2 linked regions of the Tamandua tetradactyla genome follow. The protein of the gene in region 2 interacts with the protein of the main gene of each other region in a pairwise test. Links are inferred from orthologs where the notes say so. Each region holds a gene or a part of one and is shown on either strand. Other genes may lie near its edges.

What was found. The genes of interacting proteins can lie anywhere in the genome.
Region 1: the proteins of CIAO1 (region 2) and CIAO2B interact in binary tests that used the Homo sapiens proteins (3 or more experiments, as listed by UniProt). The two-hybrid records come from large-scale screens. The link is inferred for Tamandua tetradactyla from reciprocal best matches to the Homo sapiens genes CIAO1 and CIAO2B.

What each region holds. Positions count from the first base shown.
Region 1 is NC_135342.1:60,623,837-60,630,808, forward strand, and holds CIAO2B (cytosolic iron-sulfur assembly component 2B), read right to left. Parts: upstream 2,919-6,972; 5' UTR 2,840-2,918; coding exon 2,690-2,839; intron 2,534-2,689; coding exon 2,456-2,533; intron 2,188-2,455; coding exon 2,062-2,187; intron 1,220-2,061; coding exon 1,174-1,219; intron 1,009-1,173; coding exon of another isoform or gene 920-1,008; exon of another isoform or gene 809-919; intron 759-808; coding exon 661-758; 3' UTR 521-660; downstream 1-520.
Region 2 is NC_135343.1:2,410,752-2,418,544, reverse strand, and holds the start of CIAO1 (putative cytosolic iron-sulfur protein assembly protein CIAO1), read right to left. Parts: upstream 3,012-7,793; 5' UTR 2,862-3,011; coding exon 2,723-2,861; intron 2,188-2,722; coding exon 2,039-2,187; intron 1,943-2,038; coding exon 1,831-1,942; intron 1,725-1,830; coding exon 1,636-1,724; intron 1,398-1,635; coding exon 1,196-1,397; intron 437-1,195; coding exon 349-436; intron 1-348. Other genes in the region: TMEM127 (transmembrane protein 127), read left to right, coding at 3,598-3,841. UniProt on the Homo sapiens protein: Key component of the cytosolic iron-sulfur protein assembly (CIA) complex, a multiprotein complex that mediates the incorporation of iron-sulfur cluster into extramitochondrial Fe/S proteins.

The DNA.
Region 1 (6,972 bases), on a different chromosome or scaffold from region 2:
AGACAGTTCTTGAAGAGGCTAAAGAGCCTAACAACCAAACACGGTCATATGAGAATTTCTATTGGAGTCTGATAAAAAAAAAATCCATGTATGAAATTTTAGGGAAATTTGTATCTGGACTACATATTAGATGGTATTGGGGAATTGTTCATAATTTTGGCCAGGTGACAGTACTGTGGTTGTAAAGGCTTTCTCATAGGAGTGCAGGACAGAGTACGTAGAAGGAAAGGGTCATGTCTTTACAGCTCTCTCTCAAATTCTACTTATATACACACATTAAAAAAGCAAATGTTGCAACATATTAACAACCATTGAATATAGGTGATGGGTATACAGGTCTGATCACTACTATTCACTATCCTTTCGATGTTTTGTACACTTGCAACTTTTCCTAGTCCAAACAATGGGAGAAATTTAAAATATCAATAAACTGTTCATCACTGAATTCTGGATAGGCTCATACCCCTCCCAAGCCCTGAGTGACCCCATTTGATGAAAGACTCTAAGGCATGCTTGGAAATGAATATAAATTAAGAGTTTATTACAAAATGCAAAATGTTAAGTTTCCCATTGTCAGTGATTCCAGAAAACAAGGCCATGAGCCCTGGGTAGAGCTGTGGCCCAGACAGAGGTATGTGGGCTGGGAGCCAAAAGCCAAGTTCAGGAACGGGCTGACAGGCACTGGTTCACAACCTCCAGTAGGTGGGTGTTCTCCAGGGCAGCTGCTACTCGCTCCTTATCGGCAAGCTGCTTGTTCACTGGATGGGAAGGAGAGAGAGTCAAAGTGAGGTTCTGGCCATGCTGCTAGTCAAGTCCCACCTCTGAGCCTTTGTATGAGCTACGCCCAACCAGTAAAGTCCTCCTGTTGCCTCTTTGCCAGGACCCTCAGCCTCGATTAGGCTATTTCAACCACCTGAACCTACAACAATCCCACTTTCTTGGAACCCTTCCCACCTGATTGCTCATTCTGCCTCCTGCATTCCTGAAGCATGGGCTCGTGTACTATTACTGGAGAGTAGAAGAGGGACGAGGTAAGCACAGTCAGGCCAGCTTCCCTGAAGAGTGTCTGGCAATTTCACCCACCCAGGCTCCCCTGGATCTTGCCCTATAAACCACTATGGCAAGAAGGAAGCCTCAGAAAGCTTAGGGTCCCAGGCCAATGCCCTCACTCACCTGCATGCTCTGAGGCATGGGTTCCTGGAGTAATGTGCACGTCCATCTGAGGGAAAGATAAGCAGGGCCTGAGCCTCCCCCCAACCTGCCCACCTCCTTGCCTGTTACCCCTTCAGTCACCACCTCCAGCTTTTCCTTCTTCCTAATCATGCTTCTGGCCTTTCTACCACACCCCCAATACACCCAGAGTGCTTCTACTTCTACCCAAAGAACTGATCAACTACTGTTGACTTAAAGACCTGCCTGAGCCTCGCCCCTGTTCCAAACCCATCTACAGTTCCCTACTGCCCTTCCTGCCATACTCCTTACTTCTTTTTTGCACTTGCCAGCTCAGGCCTTTATTATTATTATTATTATTTTACAATAATGAACCTCTGTAACTATTTATTGAATATCTACAGTGTGGTGCTTTGGGGCACAGAAGAAAATATTAAGCATGGTCACATGGAGGCAGCCTAATGTAGCAGAAACATGATAAATGGCAACCAAAAAGACATGGGATCAGAACCTGGTCCTGCTGTTGACTAATTTTACAAGCTTGAGCAGATGAATTTACTTCTCTTAACTTAGTTTCTATTTTTTTTAACTTTCTTTATTGTATAGCATAACATATATACAAAGCAAAGAAATAACAAAGCAATATTTTTTCTAAGCACTCTTCAACAAGTAGTTACAGGACAGATCCCAGAGTTTGTCATGGGCTACCATACCAGGCCTTTATTCTTGTTGTCCCCTTCACTTGGAAACCCAACTCCCAATTTCATCTCTGCCAGTTAGGATTCTTCTAGCTCCCATTCTGATGTCCTCTCTCTGTTCACGCTCTCCACGTCACCCTTGTCAATAGTATATCCTCATGCTTGCCCTGTGGGAGGCTCAATTCCAACTGACCTTGAAACGCTGGGGAAGAGAGCGCAGAAGCTTAACTTTGATGGACAGACCAATAAGGGTGGCCATGCTGCAGTGTGGAATGGTGGGTGTGAAGGCGACGGCCACAGTGCTCTCCGGGTCGCTCACCTGAGAAGGGGGTAGGGAAGTGATGTCAAAAGTCACAGCCCTCCCAGCCCAGGACCCTCTTCTTAGTTTCTTGATTGGGCCCTTTGTCCAATCTCTATAGACCTCAGTTCCTTCATCTACAAAACGGGCACAACAATCCCTGTTCCTAAAGATGCCCCGATAAATCCATGAGTTAAAAAAACACCCGAATGTCAGTCCCTGGTGTACAGCTAAACCTTTCTGAATCTCCCGGATCAAGCTGCTCCCCTAAGACGCTGGAGTAACTCACCTGAACCCGAACTTGCTCTACAACGTTCAATTCCTCCAGCGTCAGTGGATGCTCTGGGTCATTGATGGAGCGAATCAGATGTGGCAAGTGAAGGAAAAGGGATTCTGCCTTTGCCCACTCAGAGCCCTTCGTCAGAAATGCCCTGTCCTGCTACTGCTCCTCCAGTCGTACGACATCATCTCTCCCCGTCTCCCAAGCCCCCCGCGAACCCGTCCCCGCCCAGCAGCAGCGGATATCGAAGATCTCGCGCGCGTCTATGCTGTCGGGAACCTGCTCATCCTCCTCGCCCGCAGTCACAGGCCGCTCCCCAGAGCGCTCATAGATGAGGGGGTTAGCGTTCTCTAGGAGGCCGCCCCCTACGCCGCCACCGCCGCCGCCCACCATAGCCGAACCGCCGTGGGCCACTATCTGCGTGCACTTCCGCCTCGACAGGCGCACTTCCGGAGAACGGAAAAGGGGCGTGGCGAGGCGACGGGGTCGCACGAGGGACAGCCGCGCTACGGGTGTGCGGCCCGGGGTCTGGGATGGGTAGTGGACTCGGCGTTGTGGTTTCGCGAACCCCAAGAAGGTGTGGACCGCTCAAGAAGAGGCGCGGAGAAGAGAACCCAGCTACGCCGGGCCGCGCGAGCCGGTTAGGGACTGGAACGCCGAGGCCAAGGCGGGTTCTCAGGGGCCGTTAAAGGCCGGTCTGAGGTTAAGCCTGGCGCATCCGCAGGCAGCACCTGCTCCCTGAATTCTTCCCTGCCCCTGAGGGTGGGCGGGTGCTCGGATACCCAGGACTGAGGAAGGTTCAAGGTGTTTCGGGATCTTCCAGGGATGCGCTCGCTTCTCCCGCAGCCCGCGGATCAGCCGGCGCTCGATAAACGTTTGTGAAATGAATAAATGACCGTGAACTCGATCTCGCGGGAGGTGGGGGAGGAGCGCACGAAATCGTGTGCGTTTCGAAAGGAGGGCATGACTGAGTACAGAGGAGCCTCTGGAGACCCTCAGACCAGAGGCACTAAGGGGATAAAGGAACGTGAAGGGGGTGGGGGGGCGGGGAGGCCAAGGAAGCTTCATCTGGAAGCCTCTCGAGCTTCCAGATGAAGGGCATAGTCACACCCCTGCCTATGCTCAAGCCGTTTCCTTCGCCCCGAACGAAGACCGTTCTTATTTCTTTATCTGTATTCTGATCGAGCACCTCCTCAGGAAAGCCCTCCTGGGTTCCCCCAAACAGCTTGTCGCTACCTCCTCTCAACTCCCCTCCACCTCCAACGTCCTCGTCGGGCCTGTGGCTGCGAGGACAGTGAACGCAGTGACTCCAGCTCTGAGGAAAGGGTCCCTGGTATTGCGGAGGTGCTCCCAGTGTGTGGATATGCCACATTTTATTGATCCGAGAAGCCCACGGGGGACCGGCACCCGCCTGCCCCGAGCTTCCAGGTCCGACCGACCTTTCCCTGGCCCGACCCCCGCGCCCCGCCTCCGCCCGGCCCAGTCCAAATTCCCCTCTGGGGCGAGGCACCTACCCGCGGCGGAGCGCGCGGGGGCGCAGCCAGTAGGTGAAAAGCAGCGATCCCGCCGGTAGCGAAAAGGAGAACCTACGAGCGGACGATGCGGCTGGACCCGCTGAGCGAGCGGCTGAGGGCCGTGGCCTATGGGTTCCTGCTTCACCTTCTCGTCTCGGCCGGGGGTGAGGTTCCCGCGGGGGGCTGCGGAGGCCGAGTCGGATCCTCCAAACTGCAGTGGCAGAACCTGAGGCTGAGGGCGGGACTATGCCAGGGAGGTCGGAGCTGATGAAGATAAGGACAGCGCGGGAGCCGTGCGCTGGGCAGGACCCCTCCCGACCGCCCCGGGTGGGCCTCGTAAGATACAGAGAGGGTCGGGGCTGCCCGAGGCCACACAGTATGAGGGACTCGTCCAGTCCCAGGGGCTCTACGGAGCTCCGAGGCGGGCTGGGTTGGGTTAGCAGCCTGGGGCTGTAGGAACTTCTTTCTCTCCTTGTGTTTGTGGCTGGAGCGGGCGCTGTCTGCAGGTAATAACAGTAATAATTAGAATACCTTTCCTCATTTGTCTACCCTGAGTGTGCTGTGCACTTGGCCAGAGGAAGCCACTGAGTCCCCCACCGCAGGGGTCCCAGCCAAGATTACTGACCTTAATTCAGCATCTGGGAATCTGGCGCAGAGAAGCTCCTTAGCTTCTCCTAAAGCCCATGGAGGAAGCCACTGTGTCTTCCTCACCCCACTGCACCCTGCATGGGGAAAAGGCATGGCTGGGTCGCTAGGGCAAAGGAGATTGCCCTTTGTGCCTGCCTTCTGTTTTTATCAGGAGCTATTTGAAAACCACCCTAGGTCATCCAAAGTTTCCTGGTCCTTTCTCATTAAGCACGATCCTCTCACCCAAAATGCCCCCTACCTATGCAGCCCTACAGTCCTGCCCTTTCTCAGAGGAATTTGCCAGTGAATGGCCCATACTTACCCCTCCCATTTAACACACACCCCACACCCCACCCCACTCCACCCCGCCCCGTCCAGGCTCTTGGAGGTAACTGGACCTCTACGAGATCTACCTGGCCTCGCTGCCACTTCCCTTTTATTATTTTGGATTGTACCTATGTTGAAGAGAATAATTGACAAGGTATAAGAGGACTCAAGGTGGTGAGTCTGACCCTCTCCTGTCCCACCCAGTCCTGGCTTCTCCATGGGAACCATTAAGGAAGGCCCCCAGGGCCTTCCACATTCAGCCCAGGAGTTTACCCAAGAATGGATGTGTGCACACACCCTGGTTTTCTCCTAAACTGTAATCTCACACCTTTTCTGGGCCCTGGCCTTCTACACTTCCTGACACTGGGCAGAGACTTCCTGGGTGCGGTAGCGCTTCCTCATACAGTTTAATAAAAGAACTTCTCTCAGGGAAGAAGCAGTGGTTGCTATAACTGACCTCTAATCAGGCCATTTCAGCAGGTTTTGTCCTTTGCTATAACAAACACCGGGCATCATTGGGTGGTAGCTGCAGTGAATTACATGGACAAACAGCCCATTCCATTCAGCAAGGAGTTGTGCGTAGACAGCATGTTGCTGGAGAGAGGGGTGGGCCTTTTGATTTGGAACACCATGACTCATTTACCCTCCTTGGAGCCTGTGAGTGGCCATTGACCCTGGAATCATTCTATCACGTGATACATGCCAATGCTAATTCATGCTGATCTGATAGGTAACAGGTAATACCTCCTTCAGGCTGATTTTGGTTTTTACTTTTTAATATGGAAACATGCTCAGAGGTGAAGAGAATAGATTAACAAAGCCATGTACTCATCATTCACTTTCAGCAATTATGACCTGGACAACCTTGTTTTATCTGTATTGCTACATCTCCCCAGCACCATTATTTCAAGAAAATCTCAGAAGTCATATCCTCTGTACATTTTTCATATATTACTTAAAGAAAAAGAATATATATGTACATATCCACAACACCATAATTTCTTAATATAATCAACTATCTAGTCACTTATTTCCCATATTATCTCATAAATGATATTTACAGTTTTGTTGTTGTTTTAATCAGGATCCAAATTTGCAATGAATTTGCAAATTTGTTGATGTGTTTCTTATTTATAGAAACTCTTTATTTATTTATAATATTGAATCTTTCTCTGTTAGGCGGCTTTCAATCATTTCCTGCCCCTGATCCCCACAGCAGGACGGGTTGCTGCTTTTTACACTCCAGTCACAGATGCACTTCTCTTACAGCTCTCCTAACCAACGTCGCTCCTTGTTTGTAGGATGCTTTCTTTATGTTACTTCTTGCCACCTGAAGCAGGAACCATGTCTGTCCAAGTTCCACAGCTTTCCTGTTGCCTAGCATGCCCTGGCTCACAATTCCTTAAAAGGACGCTCTTCATCCATCAAACACTTGTGACCATATGTTTGAAGCTTCTGGGTCCTCACTGTGGTGGCAAGTCCCAAGGAGTCCTGCTGACCCTGACAGGAAAAGCTGGACCAGGCCCAGAGCAGTGGGGGGGGGGGGATTGGAGCTGGGGGCAGGGTTACATGTTGGATGCTTGCAAACAAAACAGGTGCTTGCAGACAAGGTGCCCTTAAACTGAGTTGTGGTTGGGAAGGAGTCCTCAGAGTCTGGGAGGACCACTGCTTGGGCAGACCCAACCCTGATGTCCATCTCTCTGTCCACAGGCCAGGAGTCTGCTGGCCCCATCCGGACCACACACACAGGGCAGGTGCGGGGAAGCCTTATCCACGTAAAGGGCACCGATGTCGGGGTCCACAGCTTCCTGGGAATTCCCTTTGCCAAGCCGCCTCTGGGGCCACTGCGATTTGCACCTCCCCAGACACCCGAACCTTGGAGTGGTGTCAGGGATGGGACCTCCCACCCAGCCATGTAAGCTCTCCCCTAGGGGACCAGGAGAGAGACCCCAGGTGGGAGGAAGTCTTAGCTCTGGGCAGAGCTGCAGTTGTCATCTCATCTAAACCCTTGCAACCAGTTTTCCACTGAGCGTGCTGAGGCTCAGAGGGAAGGGGTAG
Region 2 (7,793 bases):
GCACTGCCCTCGACCACTCTCCTGCCTAACAATACAGCATTCTAGCCATGCTCAGGGCACAGTCGATGCTGACAAACATGTGGAACCAGCCCCGAAGCCACAGACTCACTATTGTTTCTGGCTGGGGGGACACTGTGTGAGCCCCAAGGGTTGGTGCTGACCTGCAGCCTGGGATCCCAGCACAGTGTGCACCTGGCCCTCAAGTCGGTTTCCTGCTCCTGCGAACCCCAGGCCAGCCAGTGAGGAGCCAGTATGGCGGAGTCGGGCCTGATCTGAAGATAACAGGGGGCTGCCACAGTCCTCACTCCCCAAAAGACCCCACCCAGGAGGGGAAGATGTAGGCCTTACCAAGCGACATCATAAATGGTCCTGGAATGGTAGCCGGACAAAGTGCACACACATTTCCAGCTGGGGTCGGAGCCGCCGCATGCCGCCCCTGCACAACAGACCTCCCTTCAGCCTCAGGTGCACCTGTGCCCCAGGCGCCTTTGGGGGGGGGGGGTCGGTGGTGACTGCCCCACTGCAGAGGGGACGCTTACTCTCCCACCCTCACCGCAACAGAAGAGATGCAAGTCCCTGCCTCCACTCCTGTCCCACGCTCACAGGTCTGCCTCACGCACTGTGGCCAGGCTGCTCTTTCTAATGCAGAATGTCAAAAAGAAACTTCCAGCTGCGGACTAATCTTGATGCGTTAGCCTGCAGCCCCCACCCCCTCACTCCTCCCCAAGCCCCTCATCCCCTGTACTCCATGCAAGCGAATCTCCGTCGCAGTCTTAGTCTAGGATTTCCCACCAACAGTGCCCCTGCTCATGATGTCCCGCTTGCCCTAGAATTCCCTTCACTGCTTCTCCTCATGTTAAAATCCTTGCACACGGGGCAGTGCAACGGTGGCTCAGTGGCAGAATTCTTGACTGCCTCGCTGGAGACTGGGGTTCGGTTCCCGGAGTCAGCTCAAGCCAAAAAAAAAAAAAATTTTAATGAAAATCCTATGTATGCATGCTTTCAAGTTTGGGTGCAATGGTCCCTCCTCCACAAAGCTCTCTCTGGTTCTCCCAACAGCTCATCTGGAGGATTCCCCGTGGCACCTGTCACTTCCTACCCCAGTCCATGCTATGTCACGCTTGTATCTTAACCCATCCACAGATCAGACCTCCCTGGAGACGAGTCTCCTCTCGTTCTCCTACTGGACCCTCACCTTGCTCGCTGCCTGGCGGGTACTGGCGCCAGATGCGCACAGTGCGGTCATCACTGCAAGATGCCAGGCGCTGGCCACTAGGGTCAAAGGCCAAGCTCCACACGGTGGATTCGTGGCCCTCGAGGGTGGCACAGCACACCCAGTCATCTTCCTCCTCCCGGTAGAGCTTCACTGTGTCATCATAGCTGGCAGAGGCCAGAAGCTGGGGGTGGAGAAGAGAAGACAGCCCTTATCTGATGACCCAGGAAGTACAATGCTTGTCTGTACGACCCGGGAAGTGGCTGCAGTTCCAATACTTCTCCCTGCCAAGGCAGGACAGCCCCAGGGACCTGACTTTATAAAAAGACTAACAATTATGAGTTACAGTTCAGGGTTTAAAAACAGAATGCTGACAACTTTCCATACCAGAATTCCCACCAGGCACCCTGCCTGATTCCTACCTCCTGGTGTGGGTGCCAAGCCACGTGCTTGACGTCCTGAGTATGGGAATTGAGGACACTGACACACTCGTACTCGTCCTCCTCATCAACTGCAGGAAGGAAAAAAAAAACACCTCAAGAGCTGACCCCATCAGGGACACAGAGGGGAACGTCTGCTGGCTGGTTCCCAACTGCCCTAAGAGGGACCAGACTCACCTTCCCAGACCCAAACACTCTTATCTCGGCTGCAGGTGGCCAGGAGGTTGCCTGATGGGGCCCAGGCCACTGATTTGACCTCATTTTCGTGACCCTCCAGAGTGGTTACACACTGCGGAAAGGAAAAAGGCATGAGAATCAGGTGGCCCAGGTCCCAGAACCTGTAGAGCAAACAAGCAATAATTCTGGTTCCATTCAGCCTGTTTACCTCAAAGTCATCTTGGTTTTTCTTCCAAATACAAGTGGTGGCGTCAAAGCTGGCAGAGGCCAGGTAATTCCCACACGGAGACCAGGCCACCTTCCGGACCGTGCGCTGGTGGCCCTCGGAAAGAACAGACTTACAGACCCAGGTGCCCCCTATGGACAGAGAACAAGGCAGGCCCTGGAGCTGGGCGCACAGGAAGGTGGCAGGCTCTACCCTCTCCGTATGGTGATAAGGGCTCAGGCCCTACCAGTGTCCAACCTCCATCTATGTATGTGACAGTACACTTTAGAAAGATGTTAAGTGCCTCTATTTCCCCTGGAGGCATCTTTCTAAAATCTGAGTCACCCTCCGAATATGAAATTGTCAAAGGCTCCTAAACGCCCTCGGGATAAAATTTAAACTTTACCATCGGGCCCCAAATTATCCTGCCGACAGCTTTCCTACTACTTCTCTCTCCTTGTTTCCCTCCTCCAGCTGTTTTTTGCTTTCTTGTTTGCCGGCTCCTTTTCCCAAAAAGTCCTTCTCCCGGTGGCGAACGCGACACATGAAGGTCCCTCCGCCTCTTCGTCCCTGTGCCCCGGTCCAGGGTCTACCCCTGCGGCAGGCTGCGGCCCCCACACACCCGACATCTACTCTACGCGCACGCGGAGACCCCTGCGCCGGGGGTCGCGCAGTTGGGAGCTTTACCCTCAATGCCCCAGATGCGGACTCGACGGTCGCCCCCGCACGAAGCCAGCAGGGTCCCTGCGGGGTTCCAAGCCAGGAACCAGCAGCGGGAGTCTGGGTGGGCCGGGACACGGCTCAGCAGCACCAGCGAGTTCTTCATGGCAGCCGGCGCAGGGGAGGAGCAGGTGGGCAGCCACAGACCCGAAACAACCACAGGCCCCCACACCAGCGGCCGTCGGACCTGCCCGCTTCCGCCTTGGGCGGGGGATCCTGGGAACTGAACGGCCCGGGACCCCGGCCGCGCTGCCCTCTGGGAATTGTAGTCTCCAGCTCCCGCTGCGGGGAGCGCCGCGGGCCGGCTCGGAACTACCCGTCCCGTGAGGCTGTGCGCAGGGGCCGACGGCGCGCCCGCGCTGTGACGCGCGCGGGGGCCGGGGCGGGGCGCCGGGGGCGGGGCGGAGGGGGCGGAAGCCGGAAGTGGATCCGGCCGGGTCGGGCCGGGCGTTGCGGGGTCGGGCCTGGGCTAAGCTCAGCCAGAGCAGCGGAGGGGCCGTGACGGAGCGGCGGCGCCATTCTGGCCCCGAGGCCTGCGGAGCGGCGAGGAGCGCGGCGCGGAGTGGAGAGGGTCGCACCCCAGGGCGCCGTCCCCGACGCCCGGTGCCCGGCCCCCGCGGCCCATCCCGGGCCTCCCGGCTCGGCACCTCGGCGCAGACTCCGGGTCCTCCGCAGCGGCCGGCCTCCGGCGCCCCGTGCCCCTGCACCCACTGCGGTCTGCGCCGGCCTCTTCCCCCCAGCCCCGCAGCCCCATTCCGGGGTCCCCGGCCCCGCCCCTGCCGCCCCGCGCGGGCTCCCCGCCCAGGCAGGCCCTGCGCCCCTCAGAGGCCGCGGCCCCGGGCATGTACGCCCCCGGAGGCGCGGGGCTGCCCGGCGGGCGCCGGCGGCGGAGCCCGGGAGGCAGCGCGCTGCCCAAGCAGCCGGAGCGGAGCCTGGCGTCGGCCCTGCCGGGCGCGCTGTCCATCACGGCGCTGTGCACGGCGCTGGCCGAGCCCGCCTGGCTGCACATCCACGGCGGCACCTGTTCGCGCCAGGAGCTGGGGGTCTCCGACGTGCTGGGCTACGTGCACCCGGACCTGCTGAAAGGTGAGGGCGCCGCCCCCTGCCCCGCGCCTCGGGCCGGAGCTGGGGAGCTGCGGAGGAAGGGCCCCGCTGTGCACAAAGCTAAGGCGCCAGGACCCCCGTCCAAGGACGCTGCGGGGTCGGGGAGGCCGCTTTGAGCCAGCCGGGCTGATGAAGAGAAAGGAGCTTTGAATGGGAAGATCTTAGAGTTCTCGGGAAAATTGGGTTCTTAGAGAAAAGGGGAGCCTGTGGTGTTTTGTGGGAACCGGCAGTCGCCCGGTGCCGTCCTCAGTAGAGCAATGGGCGTGCGGCTGAGAGAGCCGTGGCCCGTGTGTCGGGGGAGATTGCTTTGTTTAGTGCCGGGGGGGGGGGGGGGCAAGTGGAAGGAAAAGGGGGTTCTCTTTGCCGGACATGGGGAGGTCAGGCCTGCGGGAGGCTGGCTGGAGCCCAGCCTGAGAGTGAGGACGGAGCATAGGGCAGGCGGCCACCTGACCACCCAGAAAAGCCCTTAGTGACAGCATGTTTTCATCACCTCCAAGGTCTTTTTTTCCCCTCCCACTCTTTTTTTAACTTTTTATTTAGAAATGTGTCTTTTAGACTTATAGGACACTTAGAAAAATAATAGAAACATGATAAAGAGAACTCTAGCAAACCTCTTCTTGACCCCGCTGCAGCTGCACACATCCTCCAGCTTTAACATTGCTGTCTCATTCTATCTGCCTGTCCATCTGTCTGTCCATTTGTCTATCCATCTGTCTTCTGAACACTTGGGTGTGTGTTGTACGTATCATGCTCCTTGAACCTTTAGTTCCACCCTGTACGTTTTTCACGAATGAGGACTTCCACCTTAAGTGCAGCTGTCAGACTCAAGAAATTTAGCATTTGTGTGAAGTTTGCAGTCTGTATTCCTATTTTTTTCATATGCTCCCATAATGTCTTCTTGAGCCTTATCATCTTCTTCCTTGTTCCATATCATCAGGATCATGTATTGCCTTTAATTGTCGTGGTCTTTTTAGTTGCCTTGCTTTTTTTTCCTTCATAAAAACAGCATGTACTTCCCCATGTCACCCATTCCCAAGATGCCATTCCATAAGGTTACCGATAGTTACAATGTGGCGGTACTCTCACAACTTCCATCCTTAAGCTTCCCCATCTCCTCAAACAGAAACCTTAGCTCCCCATTCCTCCTTTGCCCTGCCTCTGGCAACCTGTTCTCTAAGTTCTGTCTCTGTGAGCGTGCATGTTCTGTAATATTTTATTTGCAGTTACCATGGGGTTTAAATTTAACATCCTAAATCTGTAACAGCCATTTGCTTTGATACCAACTTAACTTCATTAATATACACACGGTCTATGCCCCTGGACCCTTCTGTCCCCTGCCTTCACATAGTTAACAGTTGATATGTTCATGCATTGTGAGTCTCAAACTGGTTTATTATGACATTTTATGCATTTGCCTTTTAGATCCTGTAGTAAGTAAAAAGTAGAGTTACAAACCAAAAATGTAAGAGTCCTGGCATTTATGTTTACCCATGTTGTTACTCTCACAGGAAACCTTTGTTTCCTCATGTGGCTTTGACCTATTATGTATTTTCCTTTCCTTTATACCTACAGAACTCCCTTTAGCATCTCTTGTAGGGTAGGTCTAGTGGTGATGAACTCCCGCAGCTTTTATCTGGGAATGTCTTAATCACTCCTTCATTTTTGAAAGATATTTTTGCCAGATATAAAATTCTTGGCTGATAGTTTCTGATTTTGGCGCTTTAAATGTGTCACCCCACTGCCATCTTGCCTTCATGGTTTCCTGTGAGAAGTTGGCGCTTATCCTTATCGAGGTCCTCACGTTGCTGCTCTCTTTGGCTTCCAGAATTCTCTCCTTTTATCTTTGGCATTTGACAGTTTGAGTATAATGGGGCAAGATGTGGGTCTATTTGGGTTTATCCCATTTGGGGTTTGTTGAGCGTCCTGGATTTGTATACTTTTGTTTTTAGTTAAATTTGAGAAATTTTCAGCCTTTACTTCTTTGAGTATGTTCTCTGTCCTTTTCTGTTCTTTTCCTCCTGGGACTCCTACTAAGTGACATTGTTTCGCTTGATGGTGTCCGGTAGGCGTCCGAGGTGCTGTTCACTTTTCTTCATTTTTTCTTCTTTCTATTCCTCAGACCGCATGATTTCAGTCTTCTTATCTTCAGATTCTCTGCCAGCTCCAATCTGCTTTTGAACCCCTATAGGGAGTTCTAAATTTCCATTTCTGTAGTCTTCAGCCCTGCTTGATTTCTTTTCATAATTCCCATTTTTCTACTGGTATCATCTGATGTTTTCCCGATTTCCTTTCGTTCTTTGAGCACATTTAAGATCATTTTTTAAAAGTCTTTGGAATGTTCTAGGTCTGTTCCTTCTCGTTGATGGTTTCTAATGCTTTAATCCTATCATTTGTTGGGCCATCACTTCCTGTTTCTTTATATGTTTTGTAAACTTTAGTTGAAATGTGGACATACTGATATTTTAATGTATAATAGCTGGAATTTAGACTCTGAGGCATCTGATCCTTAAACTTCTATCTAGCTAGTGTTATAACAGAACTTTTCTCAAATGTCAGGAGCTAACAAAAAAAAATTAAAAAGGAGTAAAGGAACGAACTTCCCAGTCTGTGCGGGTTGGCGGGTGGCGTGCTCTCCTCCAGGGCTCTCACTCCAGGGCAGTGAGTTGAGAGAGCAGCTGCAGGCCCAGCGCAGGCCTTCCCGGCCTCTCTGTGGCTGCAGCTTGTCTTGGGCGTGCGCGTGTGGTCCTGGGAGTTACCCCGCTTCCATGGCTCCTGCTGTCTCCTCTTCCCTAGGAAATGGGTTCCCGGTCCTGGCGCTGGTGTTCTGTGCTACGGCCAGCACTGCTTGCCTGCTGTCCCACAGCCGGGAGAGCCACCTTCTCCTCACAGGGCGGGTCCTAGGACAGCAAGACATCCTGCCCCCCGTCGCGTGCAGGCTCCTGTGCCCCTCCAAGGCCAGGCCGGCACAGGGACCCGCAGGCAGCTGGCAGGGGGCGGGGGAAGGGCCAGCAGGGCACCTGGAGGTGGCCTTCCTCTTGACTCAGTGCTCCCCCAGTTGCTGCCGTCCTTTCACTGTTTCCTGGAGCTTTGAGGAAAATGTTTCTGGCAGTTCTTGTGGCAGTTCTGGAGGGGATGGAACCCCCGAGTCCCACTCTGCCATCTTGATTGAGTGGCCACCCGCCCCAGGTCTTCTGAGCCGTTCTCACAGGTCTTATGTTTTCCTCTGGTCCCACTCCCCGGGTGTTTACTGCCCATGTGTTATATATCCTCACATTGCCTTTTTTTTTTACTTTTTTTATTGTATAGTATAACATATATACAAAGCAAAGAAATAAAAAAGCAATAGTTTTCAAAGCACTCTTCCATGAGTGGTTACAGGACAGATCCCAGAGTTTGTCATGGGCTACCATCCTCTCAGATGTTTCTTTCTAGCTGCTCCAAAATATAGGAGCCTAAAAGGCTTGAGTATTTTTTTATCATCACAGTCGACTTTTTTTCCTTATTTTTTTGTGAAAGACAGCATATATACAAAAAAGCTATAAATTTCAAAGCACAGTCCCACAATTAGTTGTAGAAAATATTTCAGATTCTGACATGGGTTACAAGTCCACAATTTTGGGTTTCTACTTCTAGCTACTCTAAAATACGGGCAGCTAAAAGAGATATCAATTTAATGATTCAGCATTCGTATTAATTTGTTAAGTCCTGTCTTCTACGTATGATTCCACCATCACCTTTGATCTTTCCATACCTCTCATTGGGGTTGTTTGGGCTATGGCAATTCTAGATTTTGGATAATGGAAGGGTCTGTTGCTAATATGGGGTAGGGAGATGAAACTATCTGATTTTCTGGAGAGGCTGGGCTAGGTTTCAGGACTCATCTGGACCAGGGACCCATCTGGAGGTTGTAGGTTTTTGGAAAGTTGCTCTAGTG